Linked DNA regions of Lonchura striata. Each later gene encodes a partner of the first gene's protein in a complex. Links are inferred from orthologs where the notes say so. Each region holds a gene or a part of one and is shown on either strand. Other genes may lie near its edges.

The links.
Region 2: the proteins of GPAA1 (region 1) and PIGU are in contact, whole or in part, in a cryo-EM structure (PDB 8IMX), measured with the Homo sapiens proteins. The link is inferred for Lonchura striata from reciprocal best matches to the Homo sapiens genes GPAA1 and PIGU. Residues at the interface, in NP_003792.1 of Homo sapiens: Gln245, Leu310, Arg311, Arg313, Phe358, Leu359, Ile371, Ala389, Leu390, Trp393, His397, Leu500, Ile504, Leu508, Cys512, Leu515, Thr516; in NP_536724.1 of Homo sapiens: Tyr349, Ile355, Phe356, Cys360, Ile363, Val364, Leu367, Leu368, Val371, Leu372, Leu375, Ile377, Tyr378, Ala379, Gly380, Ser381, Phe386.

The regions. Positions count from the first base shown.
Region 1 is NC_134603.1:829,548-837,110, forward strand, and holds the start of GPAA1 (GPI-anchor transamidase component GPAA1), read left to right. Parts: upstream 1-4,549; coding exon 4,550-4,657; intron 4,658-5,643; coding exon 5,644-5,791; intron 5,792-6,583; coding exon 6,584-6,643; intron 6,644-6,717; coding exon 6,718-6,819; intron 6,820-7,563. UniProt on the Homo sapiens protein: Component of the glycosylphosphatidylinositol-anchor (GPI-anchor) transamidase (GPI-T) complex that catalyzes the formation of the linkage between a proprotein and a GPI-anchor and participates in GPI anchored protein biosynthesis. Binds GPI-anchor.
Region 2 is NC_134619.1:14,259,736-14,266,978, reverse strand, and holds the start of PIGU (GPI-anchor transamidase component PIGU), read right to left. Parts: upstream 3,001-7,243; 5' UTR 2,932-3,000; coding exon 2,802-2,931; intron 1,173-2,801; coding exon 1,108-1,172; intron 1-1,107. UniProt on the Homo sapiens protein: Component of the glycosylphosphatidylinositol-anchor (GPI-anchor) transamidase (GPI-T) complex that catalyzes the formation of the linkage between a proprotein and a GPI-anchor and participates in GPI anchored protein biosynthesis.

The DNA.
Region 1 (7,563 bases):
GATTGAGCGGCCTGGCCCGGCCGTGCCCCGCAGGTTCGGGGGTTTGGGGCATTTTGGGGCATTTTGGGGCATTTCGGGGCATTTCGGGGGTTTGGGGCACTCCGGGGGGCCCCGAGGGCGCAGGGGCTGCGGGGCAGGGGAAGGGCCGGGCCAGGCCCGTGTGGGATGCGGGGAGCGCGGTGTAGGGGCGTGGGGGAGGGCAGGGCCTGAGGGGGATTTGGGGTGGGGAGGGGATTTGGGGTGTCTGAGGAGATTTGGGGTGTCTGTGAGGGAATTGGGGTGTCCGTGGGGTGGGGAGTGGATTTGGGGTGTCTGTGAGGGAATTGGGGTGTCCGTGAGGAAAATTGGGGTGGGGAGGGGATTTGGGGTGTCTGGGGAGGGGGGTTTGGGGTGTCTGTGAGGGAATTGGGGTGTCTGTGAGGGAATTGGGGTGTCCTTGATGAGTTTTGGGGTGTCCGTGAGGAGAATTGGGGTGTCCGTGAGGAGAATTGGGGTGTCTGTGAGGGAATTGGGGTGTCTGTGAGGGAATTTGGGGTGGGGAGGGGATTTGGGGTGTCTGAGGATATTTGGGGTGTCTGTGAGGGAATTGGGGTGGGGAGTGGATTTGGGGTGTCCGTGAGGAGGTTTGGGGTGGGGAGGGCATTTGGGGTGTCTGTGAAGGGATTTGGGGTGTTCGTGGGGTGGGGAGGGGATTTGGGGTGTCCGTTGGGTGAGGAGGGGTTGGGGGCTCTGTGGGATTTTGGGGTCCCTGTGGGTTTTGGGGTCTCAGTGGGGTTTGGGGTCTCAGTGGGGTCTCAGTGGGGTTTTGGGGTCTCAGTGGGGTTTGGGGTCTCAGTGGGGTCTCAGTGGGGTTTTGGGGTCTCAGTGGGTTTTGGGGTCTCAGTGGGGTTTTGGGGTCTCTATGGGGTCTCAGTGGGTTTTGGGGTCTCAGTGGGGTTTGGGGTCTCTATGGGGTCTCAGTGGGATTTTGGGTCCCTGTGGGTTTTGGGGTCTCAGCGCTGTTTTGGGGTCTCAGTGGGGTCTCAGTGGGGTTTTGGGGTCTCAGTGGGGTTTTTGGGTCTCAGCGCTGTTTTGGGGTCTCAGTGGGGTCTCAGTGGGGTTTTGGGGTCTCAGGGGGGTTTTTGGGTCTCAGTGGGGCTTTGGGGTCTCAGTAGGGTCTCAGTGGGGTTTTGGGGTCTCAGCGCTGTTTTGGGGTCTCAGTGGGGTCTCAGTGGGGTTTTGGGGTCTCAGCGCTGTTTTGGGGTCTCTGTGGGGTCTCAGTGGGGTTTTGGGGTCTCAGGGGGGTCTCAGTGGGACTTTGGGGTCTCTGTGGGGTCTCAGTGGGGTTTTTGGGTCTCAGTGGGGCTTTGGGGTCTCAGTGGGGTCTCAGTGGGGTTTTGGGGTCTCAGTGGGGCTTTGGGGTCTCAGTGGGGTCTCAGTGGGGTTTTGGGGTCTCAGCGCTGTTTTGGGGTCCCCACAGCCCGGTCCCCCTGCCATGGGGCTGCTGTCGGACCCGCAGTGCCGGCGGGCACTGGCCCGGCTGCTGCTGCGCCTCAACACCCCCCTCTGGTGAGTGGGGGGGACCCCGAAACCGGGGGGACCCCAAAACCCTGGGGGGGACCCCAACACCCCCCTCTGGTGAGTGGGGGGGACCCCGAAACCGGGGGGGACCCCAAAACCTCTGGGGGGGACCCCAACACCCCCCTCTGGTGAGTGGGGGGGACCCCGAAACCGGGGGGGACCCCAAAACCCTGGGGGGGACCTCAACACCCCCCTCTGGTGAGTGGGGGGATCCCAAAACCTGGGGGGACCCCAAAACCCTGGGGGGGACCCGAACAACCCCTCTGGTGAGTGGGGGGGACCCCAAAACCTGGGGAGACCCCAAAACCTCTGGGGGGGGGTGTCAGGGCTGGGTTTGGAGTGTCACTGATGGTTTTGGGGTTATTTTTGGGGTGCCGATGGTGACTTTGGGGTGTCACTGATGGTTATGGGGTTATCTTTGGGGTGTCACTGATGGTTTTGGGGTTATCTTTGGGGTGTCACTGATGGTTTTGGGGTGCCCCCACAGCATCCTCAGTTACCTGGCGGGGCTTGGCTGGTTCCTGCTGCTGCCCGCCCTGGCTCCCTGCATGTACCTGTGCAGGGTGGGGGTGTCACTGATGGTTATGGGGTTATCTTTGGGGTGCCGATGGTGATTTTGGGGTGCCGATGGTGATTTTGGGGTGCCCCCCGCAGCATCCTCAGTTACCTGGCGGGGCTCGGCTGGTTCCTGCTGCTGCCCGCCCTGGCTCCCCGCACGTACCTGTGCAGGGTGGGCGTGTCAGGGCTGGGTTTGGGGTGTCACTGATGGTTTTGGGGTTATTTTTGGGGTGCCAATGGGGATTTTGGGGTGCCCCCACAGCATCCTCAGTTACCTGGCGGGGCTCGGCTGGTTCCTGCTGCTGCCCGCCCTGGCTCCCCGCACGTACCTGTGCAGGGTGGGGGTGTCAGGGCTGGGTTAGGGGTGGGTTTGGGGTGCCGATGGTGACTTTGGGGTGTCACTGATGGTTTTGGGGTGCCCCCACAGCATCCTCAGTTACCTGGCGGGGCTCAGCTGGTTCCTGCTGCTGCCCGCCCTGGCTCCCCGCACGTACCTGTGCAGGGTGGGGGTGTCACTGATGGTTTTGGGGTTATTTTTGGGGTGCCAATGGTGATTTTGGGGTGCCCCCACAGCATCCTCAGTTACCTGGCGGGGCTCGGCTGGTTCCTGCTGCTGCCCGCCCTGGCTCCCCGCACGTACCTGTCCGAGAACGCCATGGGCTCCACCATGGTGGGGGAGGGCTCCGACCTCGGGCCCCGCGCCCTGGCCCTGGCCCGCGACTTCGGGGCGCACAAGAGGAGAGCGGGGTGAGAACAGAGGGATTGGGGTTGGGGTTTGGGATTTGGGGGGTTTGGGGAACACACCCGCGACTTCGGGGCGCACAAGAGGAGAGCGGGGTGAGAACGGGGGGATTGGGGTTGGAATTGGGACTTGGGGGGTTTGGGGAACACCCCCGCGACTTCGGGGCGCACAAGAGGAGAGTGGGGTGAGAATGGGGGGATTGGGGTTGGGATTTGGGATTTGGGGGGTTTGGGGAACATACCCACGACTTTGGGGGGCACAAGAGGAGAGCGGGGTGAGAACGGGGGGATTGGGGTTGGGGAGGGAGACACACCCGTGACTTTGAGGGGCACAAGATGAGAGCGGGGTGAAAACGGGGGATTTGGGGTTGGGATTTGGGATTTGGGGGGTTCGGGGAACACACCCGCGACTTCGGGGCGCACGAGAGGAGAGCGGGGTGAGAACAGGGGGATTGAGGTTTGGGGGTCTGGGGAGGGGGACACACCCGGGAATTTTGGGGGGCACAAGAGGAGAGCGGGGTGAGAACGGAGGGATTGGGTTTGGGATTGGGATTTGGGGGTTTTGGGGAGGGGAACACATCTGGGGCTTCGGGGGGCACAAGAGGAGAGTGGGATGAGAACGAGGGATTTGGGATTGGGGTTTGGGGGGTTTCGATTGGGATTTGGGGAGGGGGACACAGCGGGGACTTCGGGGTGCACAAGAGGAGAGCGAGGTGAGACCCTGGAGTGGGGTTTGGGGTTAGGTTTGGGGAGGGGGGACACACCCGGGGCTTTGGGGTGCACAGGAGGAGAGCGGGGTGAGAACGGGGGGATTGGGGTTTGGGGAGGGGAGACACACCCGGGAATTTTGGGGTGCACAGGAGGAGAGCGGGGTGAGAACGGGGTGTTTGGGGTTGGTTTTGGGGGTGGATTGGGGGATTTGGGGAGGGGAACACACCAGGGAATTTTGGGGGATGAGTGGAGAGCAGAGTGACGCCTTTGGGGTTGGGAGGAGTTTGGGGGAGTTCCATTGCCACTCCTGCTTGGAGTGGCTGGAGAGGGGATTTGGGGGATGGTTTGGGGTGCCCCAATCCCAATCCCATATTTATTTATTTGTTTTGGGGCATGCCTGTGGAGTGGCTGGAGCAGACCTGTGGGCTCTGGGGATGGTTTGGGATATCCCAATCCCAATCCCAATCCCAATCCCATTTTTATCCATTTTATCCCATATTTTTTTGTTCAGGGGCATGCCCGTGGAGTGGCTGGAGCAGACCTGTGGGCTTTGGGGATGCTTTGGGATATCCCAATCCCAATCCCAATCCCATTTTTATCCATTTTATCCTGTATTTTTTTGTTCAGGGGCATGCCCGTGGAGTGGCTGGAGCAGACCTGTGGGCTCTGGGGATGGTTTGGGGATGCTTTGGGATATCCCAATCCCAATCCCAATCCCATTTTTATCCATTTTATCCCATATTTTTTTGTTCAGGGGCATGCCCGGTGGGAGTGGCTGGAGCAGACCTGTGGGCTCTGGGGATGGTTTGGGATATCCCAATCCCAATCCCAATCCCATTTTTATCCATTTTATCCCGTATTTATTTATTTAGGGGCATGCCCGTGGAGTGGCTGGAGCAGACCTGTGGGCTCTGGGGATGCTTTGGGATATCCCAATCCCATTTTTATCCATTTTATCCCGTATTTTTTTGTTCAGGGCATGCCCGTGGAGTGGCTGGAGCAGACCATGTTCCAGCTGGGGCTCGAGGTCCATCGCCAGCCCTTCAGCCGCACGCTGCCCCTTCCCGACGAGGCCCACGAGCGCTACGTACTGGGAGCACTGGGAGCACTGGGAGCACTGGGAACGGGGGAGGGGGGACTGGGAGCACTGGGAACGGGGGAGGGGGGGACTGGGAGCACTGGGAATGGGGCACTGGGAGCACTGGGAACGGGGCACTGGGAGCACTGGGAATGGGGGACTGGGAGCACTGGGAACGGGGCACTGGGAGCACTGGGGATACTGGGAACGGGGCACTGGGAGCACTGGGAACGGGGCACTGGGAGCACTGGGAACGGGGCACTGGAGCACTTGGTGGCACTTGGGGTCCCCAGGGCAGTGGGGGTCCCTGGAACCCTCGCTGTCCCAGCCTTCCTGAGGATTGCTGGGGGGTCTCTGGGCGGGTTTGGGGTCCCCTGGCAGGTTTGGGGTCCTTGTTCAGGTTTTGGGGTGCCGTGGGGATGTCTGGGGTCCCTGTTCAGGTTTTGGGGTGCCGTGGGGATGTTTGGGGTGCTGACCCCGCTGTCCCTCCCAGCTGGTGCGGGGCACCAACGTTTTCGGGGTGCTGCAGGGATGTTGGGGGTCCCTGGGTGGGTTTTGGGGTCCCTGTTCAGGTTTTGGGGTGCCATGGGGATGTCTGGGGTCTCTGTTCGGGTTTGGGGTGCTGTGGGGATGTTTGGGGTGCTGTGGGGATGTTTGAGGTCCTTGGGTGGGTTTTGGGGTCCCTGTTCAGGTTTTGGGGTGCCATGGGGATGTCTGGGGTCCCTGTTCGGGTTTGGGGTGCTGTGGGGATGTTTGGGGTGCTGCGGGGATGTTGGGGGTCCCTGGGTGGGTTTTGGGGTCCCTGTTCAGGTTTGGGGTGCTGACCCCGCTGTCCCTCCCAGCTGGTGCGGGGCACCAACGTTTTCGGGGTGCTGCGGGGATGTTGGGGGTCCCTGGATGGGTTTTGGGGTCCCTGTTCAGGTTTTGGGGTGCTGTGGGGATGCCTGGGGTCCCTGTTCGGGTTTTGGGGTGCTGACCCCGCTGTCCCTCCCCAGCTGGTGCGGGGCACCAACGTTTTCGGGGTGCTGCGGGCCCCCCGTGCCGCCAGCACCGAGGCGCTGCTGCTGCTGGTGCCCGGCTCCGAGGGCAGCAAGAACAGCCAGGCCGTGGGGCTGCTGCTGGCGCTGGCGGGCTACTGCCGAGGTGGGGCACGGGGGCACGGGGCTACGGGGGTACGGGGGGTACGGGGGGTACGGGGGGCTACTGCCGAGGTGGGGCACGGGGGTACGGGGCTACGGGGGTACGGGGGGTACGGGGGGTACGGGGGGCTACTGCCGAGGTGGGGCACGGGGGTACCGGGGGGCACGGGGGTACGGGGGGCACGGGGAGTACGGGGGGCACGGGGGGTACGGGGGGCTACTGCCGAGGGGGGGCACGGGGGCACGGGGGCACGGGGGTACCGGGGGGTACCGGGGGGCATGGGGGGTACGGGGGGCACGGGGGGCTACTGCCGAGGTGGGGCACGGGGGCACGGGGGTACGGGGGCACGGGGGGCACGGGGGTACGGGGGTACCGGGGGTACCGGGGGTACCGGGGGCTACTGCCGAGGTGGGGCACGGGGGGTACCGGGGGTACCGGGGGCTACTGCCGAGGTGGGGCACGGGGGGTACCGGGGGTACCGGGGGCTACTGCCGAGGTGGGGCACGGGGGCACGGGGGTACGGGGGGTACCGGGGGCTACGGGTGTACCGGGGGCTACTGCCGAGGTGGGGCACGGGGGTACGGGGGCGCTGCTGGGGCTCGGGGTCTCTGGGGGCTCAGGGGATGTACTGGAGCTGTACTGGGAGGTACTGGGCTGTACTGGTCCATACTGGTTTCCCAGGCCAGGTGTACTGGGCCAAAGATCTCATCTTCCTGGGGCTGTACTGGTCCATACTGGTCCGTACTGGTCCATACTGGTCCGTACTGGTCCATACTGGTCTGTACTGGTTCCTAGGCCAGGTGTACTGGGCCAAAGATCTCATCTTCCTGGGGCTGTACTGGTCCATACTGGCCTGTACTGGTCCATTCTGGTCCGTACTGGTCCATACTGGTCCGTACTGGTCCATACTGGTTTGTACTGGTTCCCAGGCCAGGTGTACTGGGCCAAGGATCTCATCTTCCTGGTGACCGAGCACGACCTGCTGGGGACACAGGCCTGGCTGGAGGCCTACCATGATGTCAACCTTACTGGTGAGACTGGGAGCACTGGGAGGGGCTGGGGGACACTGTGTGACCCTTACTGGTGAGACTGGGAGCACTGGGAGACAGGCTGGGACCCTTACTGGTGAGACTGGGAGCACTGGGACAGGCTGGGGGACACTGTGTGACCCTTACTGGTGAGACTGGGAGCACTGGGAGGGGCTGGGACCTTTACTGGTGAGACTGGGAGCACTGGGGGGGACTGGGAGCCCTGGGAGGGGCTGGGAGGGCTCAGGGCCCCCCAAGTGACCCTGGGCACGGACACGGTGACCGCAGTGGGCACGGGGGTCCCACGGGGGTCCCGTGGCTGTTCTGGGGGTCCCGTGGGGGTGCCCTGGGGGTCTCAGGGGGTCTCACAGTGCCCCCTCCCCAGGCATGCAGTCGGGGGGCTCCCGGGCCGGGTGGGGCCATCCAGGCGGCGCTGGGGGTGCCGTTGCCATTCTGGGGGTCCCGTGGCTGTTCTGGGGGTGCCGTTGCCATCCTGGGGGTGCCGTTGCCATTCTGGGGGTGCCGTGGCCGTTCTGGGGGTGCCCTGGGGGTCTCAGGGGGTCTCAGGTGTGCCCCCCTCCCCAGGCATGCAGTCGGGGGGTCCCGGGCCGGGTGGGCGCCATCCGGGTGACCCTGGGCATGGACACAGTGACCGCAGTGGGCGCGGGGTGCCGTTGCCATCCTGGGGGTGCCGTTGCCATTCTGGGGGTGCCATGGGGGTGCCCTGGGGGTCTCAGGGGGTCTCAC
Region 2 (7,243 bases), on another chromosome or scaffold:
GTGGTTTGATGAGACAAAGTACCAGAGTTGAGCAGTTCTACTAGACACTGCCAAAGGTTATTTTCTTTGGCCTTTACTGCAACACTGGTATTTCAGAGCAAAGTGATTAATCAAAGCACACTTACTGGTCTTTTTCCTTGCAAAGTCCTCAATGCACTTTATAAAAGGCACCATCAACTCTGAAAATTGTGTTATACTCCAACTTTTCAATTCTATTACAATAATGGTAGACTTACAATAGAAAACATACAAAGACCAGCTTTAGAAAGTAATTTTTTATAGAAAATCTATTTTTCAGGTTGTCTGCAGGTACTTTGGAAAGATTTCATATATAGCTGGTTCCCCTGCTGTTTAGATGTGTCTTTTACAAAGCAAAAAGAAAAAAGCATGTTAAAAACATAAAGCTGTAGGGTTACAATCCTATCATCCTCTTACTCCTAGAGCTTTTCCCTTTTAATGTGATGGTCTAAATAAGCATGGGAAATATTTCACAGTCTGGGAAAAATTATGTCTAAAGAAATAGAATGTATTAAAAAGAATCCTGTTTTCAGAGGATACCAAGTCCTCGCTTTACCCCAGGCAACACCATGTATGAAAGTACCTTCATGTCAGTAAGGGTATTCGAGGGCACAAAACCTCACAGGTGTTTAAGTGTTTTTGTAAGCACAAGGTGTTTTCAAGATAAGGAATAAATAAACTGCATGCTTGTGCTACTATTAGAATTTCTGCAAATGCAGAGACTCCAGGTGCTGATACTGTGTAAATCCTATCAGACTCACAGTGACATTGTCCCTACTCCAGCTTGTGCTGAGAGGAAAGCTGGATGTGAACAGAGTATTTGACTTATTACAGAGTCCCCCTTGTCTCAGAGTTTCTTTATGCAGTAACAATTATGACACTGCCTGCCCCTGCACAGGGAATTCAGTGGGATTATCTGGATTTCCTTGTGCTGGAGAAACCACTGCTCCGACAAACCACACAACTTCAGGTTCTCTGCAGTCTTTGGGACAAAGCAGGCCCCCAGCCTTCTCTAGGCCCTGAGCAGCCACACTAAGACCCCTGCCACTGGAATATCACATTTAAAACCCATCATGTAAACCAACCAACCTCATGAAAAATAGCTCCAGAGTATGGCGAGACCCCTAAATCCAGCAGGGCTAATCCTTCGACCACTGAAACAGACAAAATACCTGCATTAGAACCCTGTAATGTGGGAAGTGAGAGATCCCACGAGGATAAAACTGCAGTTTTCAAAATACTGACACTCTAAGAATCTCACGCAGCATGGATGACACCATACCTCCCAGGGCCAACAGCCAGCCAGAAGAAATTCAGCCCAGCTCTGCCGCACACGTTCCTGCACGGGCACTCATCACCTATTTATATGTTTCAGCCAAAAATGTTGGAAATGAAATCTTTTGCACTTAACTCTGTATAAATCACATGCATGGTATCTCCTCCTTTTGACTCACCTATTAAGTGACATATGGCATATATGCTGGAGAAATACTTAATTCCAAGAAGACAGCCATAACATAGTATAAAAGTTGAACTGGTTTGCCTCATTAGCTGTAGAGAGGCCTCAAACGTCCGAAATCACAAGGGAAGAACAGAAATGAACACATATTGCTAGGCAAAGCTAAAAGCTTTATCTCTCGTTGAAACTTCCTGCCATTTTATAACCTTAATTCAGCTCCTTTGTGCTCATGGAGTTACAGCTTGCTAGGCAATGTGTGTGTGTGCTTTACCATGGAAGCTCCACCCTCCTAAGCACAGAGGTTCCCTGGGACTGAGCAGTATGCAGTGAAAAGAAGCTAAGGGAAATGGTCCATTTGTTCAGAGGGAAACAGGCAGGACACTGCAGGAAAACACAAGAGGTGCTCAATTCAGTGTTACATAAATATTTCTATTAGAAATAGATTCTGGCTGCCATTAACTTCCTGTATGGTGACAGCCCAGACTTTTCAAGATGATCCCACCTTTTCCCTTTACTATCTAGATACCTACCTTGATGCTCTAAGGTGGTATTTAGAAAGATTCAATAGCACAGGAAGCATGAAGTGCTATATACTGTGGAGCAGAAGCCTCAAGTCACCAAATACACTTGTACTTTTGACCTTTATTACTTCTGGCCACTCTTTTCCACCCCAAAACTGCAAATAATTTTATCTGCATAATAACTGGATAACAAAGGGACATCTTTAAAATAAACTAAGGTTCCTAAGCCTCAGATGGCACACAGATGAACGTCACTGAAAAGCCCCGATAACCCAGGACCTTACTCAGCCTTCAGAAGAGAATGTAAATCGCCAACAATGTGTGGGGACACCAGCTGAGCAAGGGAAGTGAGCCGGGGCCCGTGCAGTGGCATTCTCACCGCGACACGGTGCCTGCGCAGGGACAGCGCAGCGCGCCCGGCCGAGGCCGATGCAGCCACACGCTCCGTGCTGGGCGGGTCACGCCCGTTTGTGTACGTGTGTGACACCACCGGTGTCCCCGGCCGTGGAGCACGACGCCCTGGCTCCAGCCCCGGCCTTCCCGGCCCCGGAGCCACCGAGCACCGGCTCCCATGGGCTCCTCCCGGGCACAGCTGCTCAGGGCCCTTTCGTGCAGCTCTACTTCGGGCCGGGAGAGCACGGCCCTGCCCTGCCCGGGGCGCGGCCGGGCGCTCTCCCCGCGGGGCCGCTGCTAGCCCGCCGCCCGCCCGGCTCGGGGGGTCCCGCCGCCCTGGCTCCTCCGCGCCGCCGCCGCGGGGCTCGGCCCGGCCAGCAGCGCCCCGGCCCGGGCTCGCCGGGCCTCACCTCGCTTCCAGGCGTTTAGCGGGGACGCCACCTCGACCCGCTCGGCGATGAAGACGGCGAGGCTGGAGCGGTAGAGCGCGGCGCGCACCGTCACGGCCGCCAGCACCACCAGCACCAAGGGGGCCGCCATCCCGGCGCGCGGTCCGCCGCTGCCGCCGGCTGTAGTTCCCGGGCGGCGCCGGGGAACACGCCGCCAACGAACCGGCCCGCCCGGGCAGACTACACGTCCCGGCAGCCCTCACACAGCCCTCTCCCGACACCACTCGCAACTACGGCGGCCGCGGAGGGGCCAAATTAGCAGGAGCGCGCTTGGCGTGGCCAGGCGGGGGTCCCGCTCCGAGCTGTCCCGTTCGGGTCCGCTTTGCCCAGGACGGCCACACGGGACAGCAGCTCCTCCGCCAGAGGACACGGATGTGTCTGTTCTCGAGGGGCATCGGCCTGACCACGGTCTATCCCTCCCGCCTGTGGATGCCAGGTGCCTCTGGATGGGAGCTCTGCCCAGCCGGGGCAAGGCCTGGCGGGCTGGGCCGGTCTCGGACGAGGAGTGTCGGTGGCTTCTGAGCTGTCTGGAAATCCCCTCAGACAATGCTTTATTTTTCAGGTATTTCACGGATGCCCATGGTATGTGCCTGCGCGTTTGCTGTGGCCATGGTGAGGGTCACGGCTGAGCGCTCGTGACCGTGTCTGGTTTCAGACGGCTCTTGGCTGACTCGGGTTCTCAGTCTATGTGGCTTCAACAGCTCCACAGCTTAAGAGCTCTGGGAAGACTTTCAATCACCTACCTTCCCAGCATGGACTTCCCTGTTCTCCAACAACCATTCCTCCATCCCCATCCCTGGGCACATGTGCAGCCCATTCACACAGTCTCACACAAAAATAGTCTTTATGACACTTCATCTGAATGGAGGCAAGTGGAAGGAAGACATTATAAACTCCTAAAAATTAGTGATAGTGTAAAAGGCATTTCATGTGGTATATGAAGACAGTAATTTTTCATGTAATTAAAACTAGGCTTTGCTGAATGTGCTGGTGTTGCCACTGAAAAGAGCTGGATAATATCCAAGAGAACCTTTTTTGGTTGGGTTTATTCAGCCTCTGAGCTGTAGATTAGAGTTGCACCTGCCTGCAGAAATGGAGAAAGGCTGAGTTCTGGGATGTGGTCCCTAAAGGCCCAGGTGACCCAGCATGTACTGTTCCCAGGACTGGAGAGACTGGTGGGGTTAGGTGGTCAGTCACATAAACTTTCTGGACCATGGATGGCTGCTTGGAACGTGAATCCCTTCATGCTACAAAACCACCTTCAGATGGTCCCTGGACTGTTTCCTACTATGCTCACTGCCTCACTGGGGTTCAGCTGCCTCCTTCACAGAGCTTCTCTCATCCACTGCCATGAGACAACAGAGCTGGTCCTGAGGCCATAAGGAGAGCTTCAGTGCTCAGCCTGTTTGTGACAGCTCCTCTGCTCTCAGCCTCTCTGGCACAAAGGTGTGGGTTTTGCTGGTAAAGCTGCTCTGAGAGTGTGGCTCTGGCTGGCCCTGGGATTTGATGGCCCCAGGACTGACCGAGCCTGGCACATCCTCTAATAAATCAGGGTGAATTCATTCAAGTTAATTTGTTTGTGCAAGCATCTGTAAATAGGAAGCCAGAAATGCTGATTCTTCTTTGCAGCTGTTCACAACAGTCTCTTGAGTTTTCTGATCATAAATGCTCTTTTTTGTGCACTGGTTCTCTCTAAATGACATTTCTGATCCAAAGTACTTGACAGCTGTTGCCTGTGACTGCTGCTTTGCTGAGTGACTGGCACACAGTAGTGTGGTTAAAGCTGCACTGCTCCAGGATGCTGATTTTGCCAGTCCGAGCTGTGCCATGTGCTGCCCAGCAGTGTCTGATGCAGCCCTGGGAAGATTCAGATAAACCCCAAGAGCAGCAGAATCAGATGTGGAATCATGCCACTACAGTTGTTCTGTGTATAAGTGGTTTGCAAAGCCAACAAAAAGGAAAGGTCAGAGAATAATTAATGACAAATGCAGTAATTCTTTCTGGAGCATGAGTTTGCTCCAGCATTTCTCCAAGAGGACATCCCAGGGCTAGCAATGGAGGGAAATTCCTAAACTAATTGACATATTCAGCCCTCTCAAAGCATCAAATACATCAGGCAAATATGAGAGGATTGACTCAACCCAGTTGCTATCTGATGGTCACTAATTTGGGGGGTTAGAGCTGCCTCAAGGAGGTGCAGTAAATACACACATGCTGTGGTGCTGTCTTTTGTCTGGCAGTGACTTCTGGAGCCACTCTCAGCCAAATGAGACAGAGGAGCAGACCTTTAAAACTCTTGGGGTTCCTGCCAGCTTATGGAAATCTAGGGAAGTTTCAGGAGACCCAGGCTGGGGTGGGCTTTGCACAGGCAATAGTTTGGGACCTGGCAGTGTTATTGTGCTGCTCCAAGTCAGCTGGTATGGCCAGCTGCTACCCCAGCATTGAAGGGGCAGACAGGGATGATACAGAACAGAGGAGAGAACTCAGGGCTGTCAGAGACTCATACTGAGCTGAATGGATCTTCCAGCAAGGAGCTGAAAGGACACAAACCAGAAAACTCTGAGAAAACTCTGGGTTGCTTGGTTAGTGCAGCAATTTTATTTTTTTTTCCAGAGGCGTAAACCTGATCTTCTGAGTCCTGGTATTTACCCCAAACTGATGGTAGTTTTTGCAGCATTTACTGGGGCATTTACTGGCTATCCTTTCTTCCTGAAATTCCTTGTCTCTGCAAGTGATTCGGTAGGAACATGCAGAGAGGGCTGGGTGTGCTAAGGCCTGGGAGCAGTTTGAGGAGCTGAGTTTGGGATCTCCTCCGTGGTGCCACGTGTGATAGTGGGGCTGTGGAACGGTTGTTGGTCCACACAGACAGCAGCAGATGCAGCTCTCAGGAGGACCTTCTGCTGTCCTACAGCCTCCAAGTGTTGTTGCCTTACTAAAAGAAGTAGATCTGGTGGAGCCAAACACACAATAGAGAGTTGCTGCTGCTGGAAGATCTGCGCTCCTTGATCGTGCTGCCCACACGAGGCACCCATGCAGAGGGCACAGGGGATGGATGAATTCAACCTGGGGATGTTGCATCACAGAACTTTCATAAAACACTCTGTTTAGCGCTGAGCCAGTTCAGGGATGATTCATCTTTGTTCCTGCAAACAGATGCTGGTTTGGGCACTTCTTGTGTGCCCTGCTGGAATTATGCAATGCAATGGCGACATTTTTTTGGGGTAAACAAGCCACTCCTTTTCCTGACTCACTGTACAAATTAGGTGTTCTGATTCCTGAGGTGTTGCAGCGCGCTGTGCGGGGCGTGCTGGGCGGCTGCGGCAGGGCCGCGACCGTCCCCCTGCGAGCTCTGCAATTCCCAGTTATCCACAGGGACAGAGCAGGGACAGACAGCCATGACACGGGGCTTGGTGTAGAACAAGATGGATTTATTCCTGGGCTCCCTGACAAGACTGGCGGGGGGTGAACAGAAGTTTTTATACAGCAACTCAGGAGGCGGGTGTAGGAAAGTGAACCAGTGAGGATATGGTAAGGGAGGAATATAAGGTGAGGCAAATAGCCTATGAGCCTATCAGGGAAAATGGTGGGGAGGGAAATAACACAAAGTAAGGAGTGGGGTATCGAGGACAATAAGACAGACACCAAACTCTCTGGAGAAAGGGGTAGGGATAGGAAGGATTGACAACTTGAAGGGAGGAAGTTAGGGAAGGGCTTGGGAAAATTGGCAGCTGGGTAAGGGAGGGGATTAGGGAGGAGAACAGGGGGCAAACATGTTTTCAAAGCAAAATACACCACAACATCTCCCTGTTTCTTTTTACAAAAGAGAGGAGAGTTCTGGGGTTCAAAATAAATTAATGAATCTGTTATATAACATATCATATCCACAATCTATCATAGAACAGATTTTAGCATATGAAAAATTATTACAGCAACAGAAAAGAATTCAGAAATTATCAGGAAAAAAATGGACTACTCATGACCATAACACATGGGGTAAGCATCTTCTTTGTGTAAGAAAATGAATATAAAATGCACAAAGTCATTATATACAGAATGGGGGTCGGGAGTAGGAATTGCAGTGGAATTGTCTTGAAGTAAGACTGGGCTTGAAGCAAGAATAACCAAGGAATCTGCAGAATCTGGCTTTCTGGTGTTTGAAAGTGATTTTGGAGGTCACTCCTCCTGTAGGATGTGATCAGCGAATGGAGATGTGGTCTTGCTCATTTTATTTTATGCAATGGTGGGTATTAACTGGACAGAGTGACTCCTCTCTCTATAATATATAACTTAACAAGCAGATTATTTTAAAGTATCAAGAATATAATGAACAATTTTTTAGTCAAGAAATTTAGTTGGAAACATGGGAAAATGGTTAAACGAAAATCAACAAAAGATGATTAAGT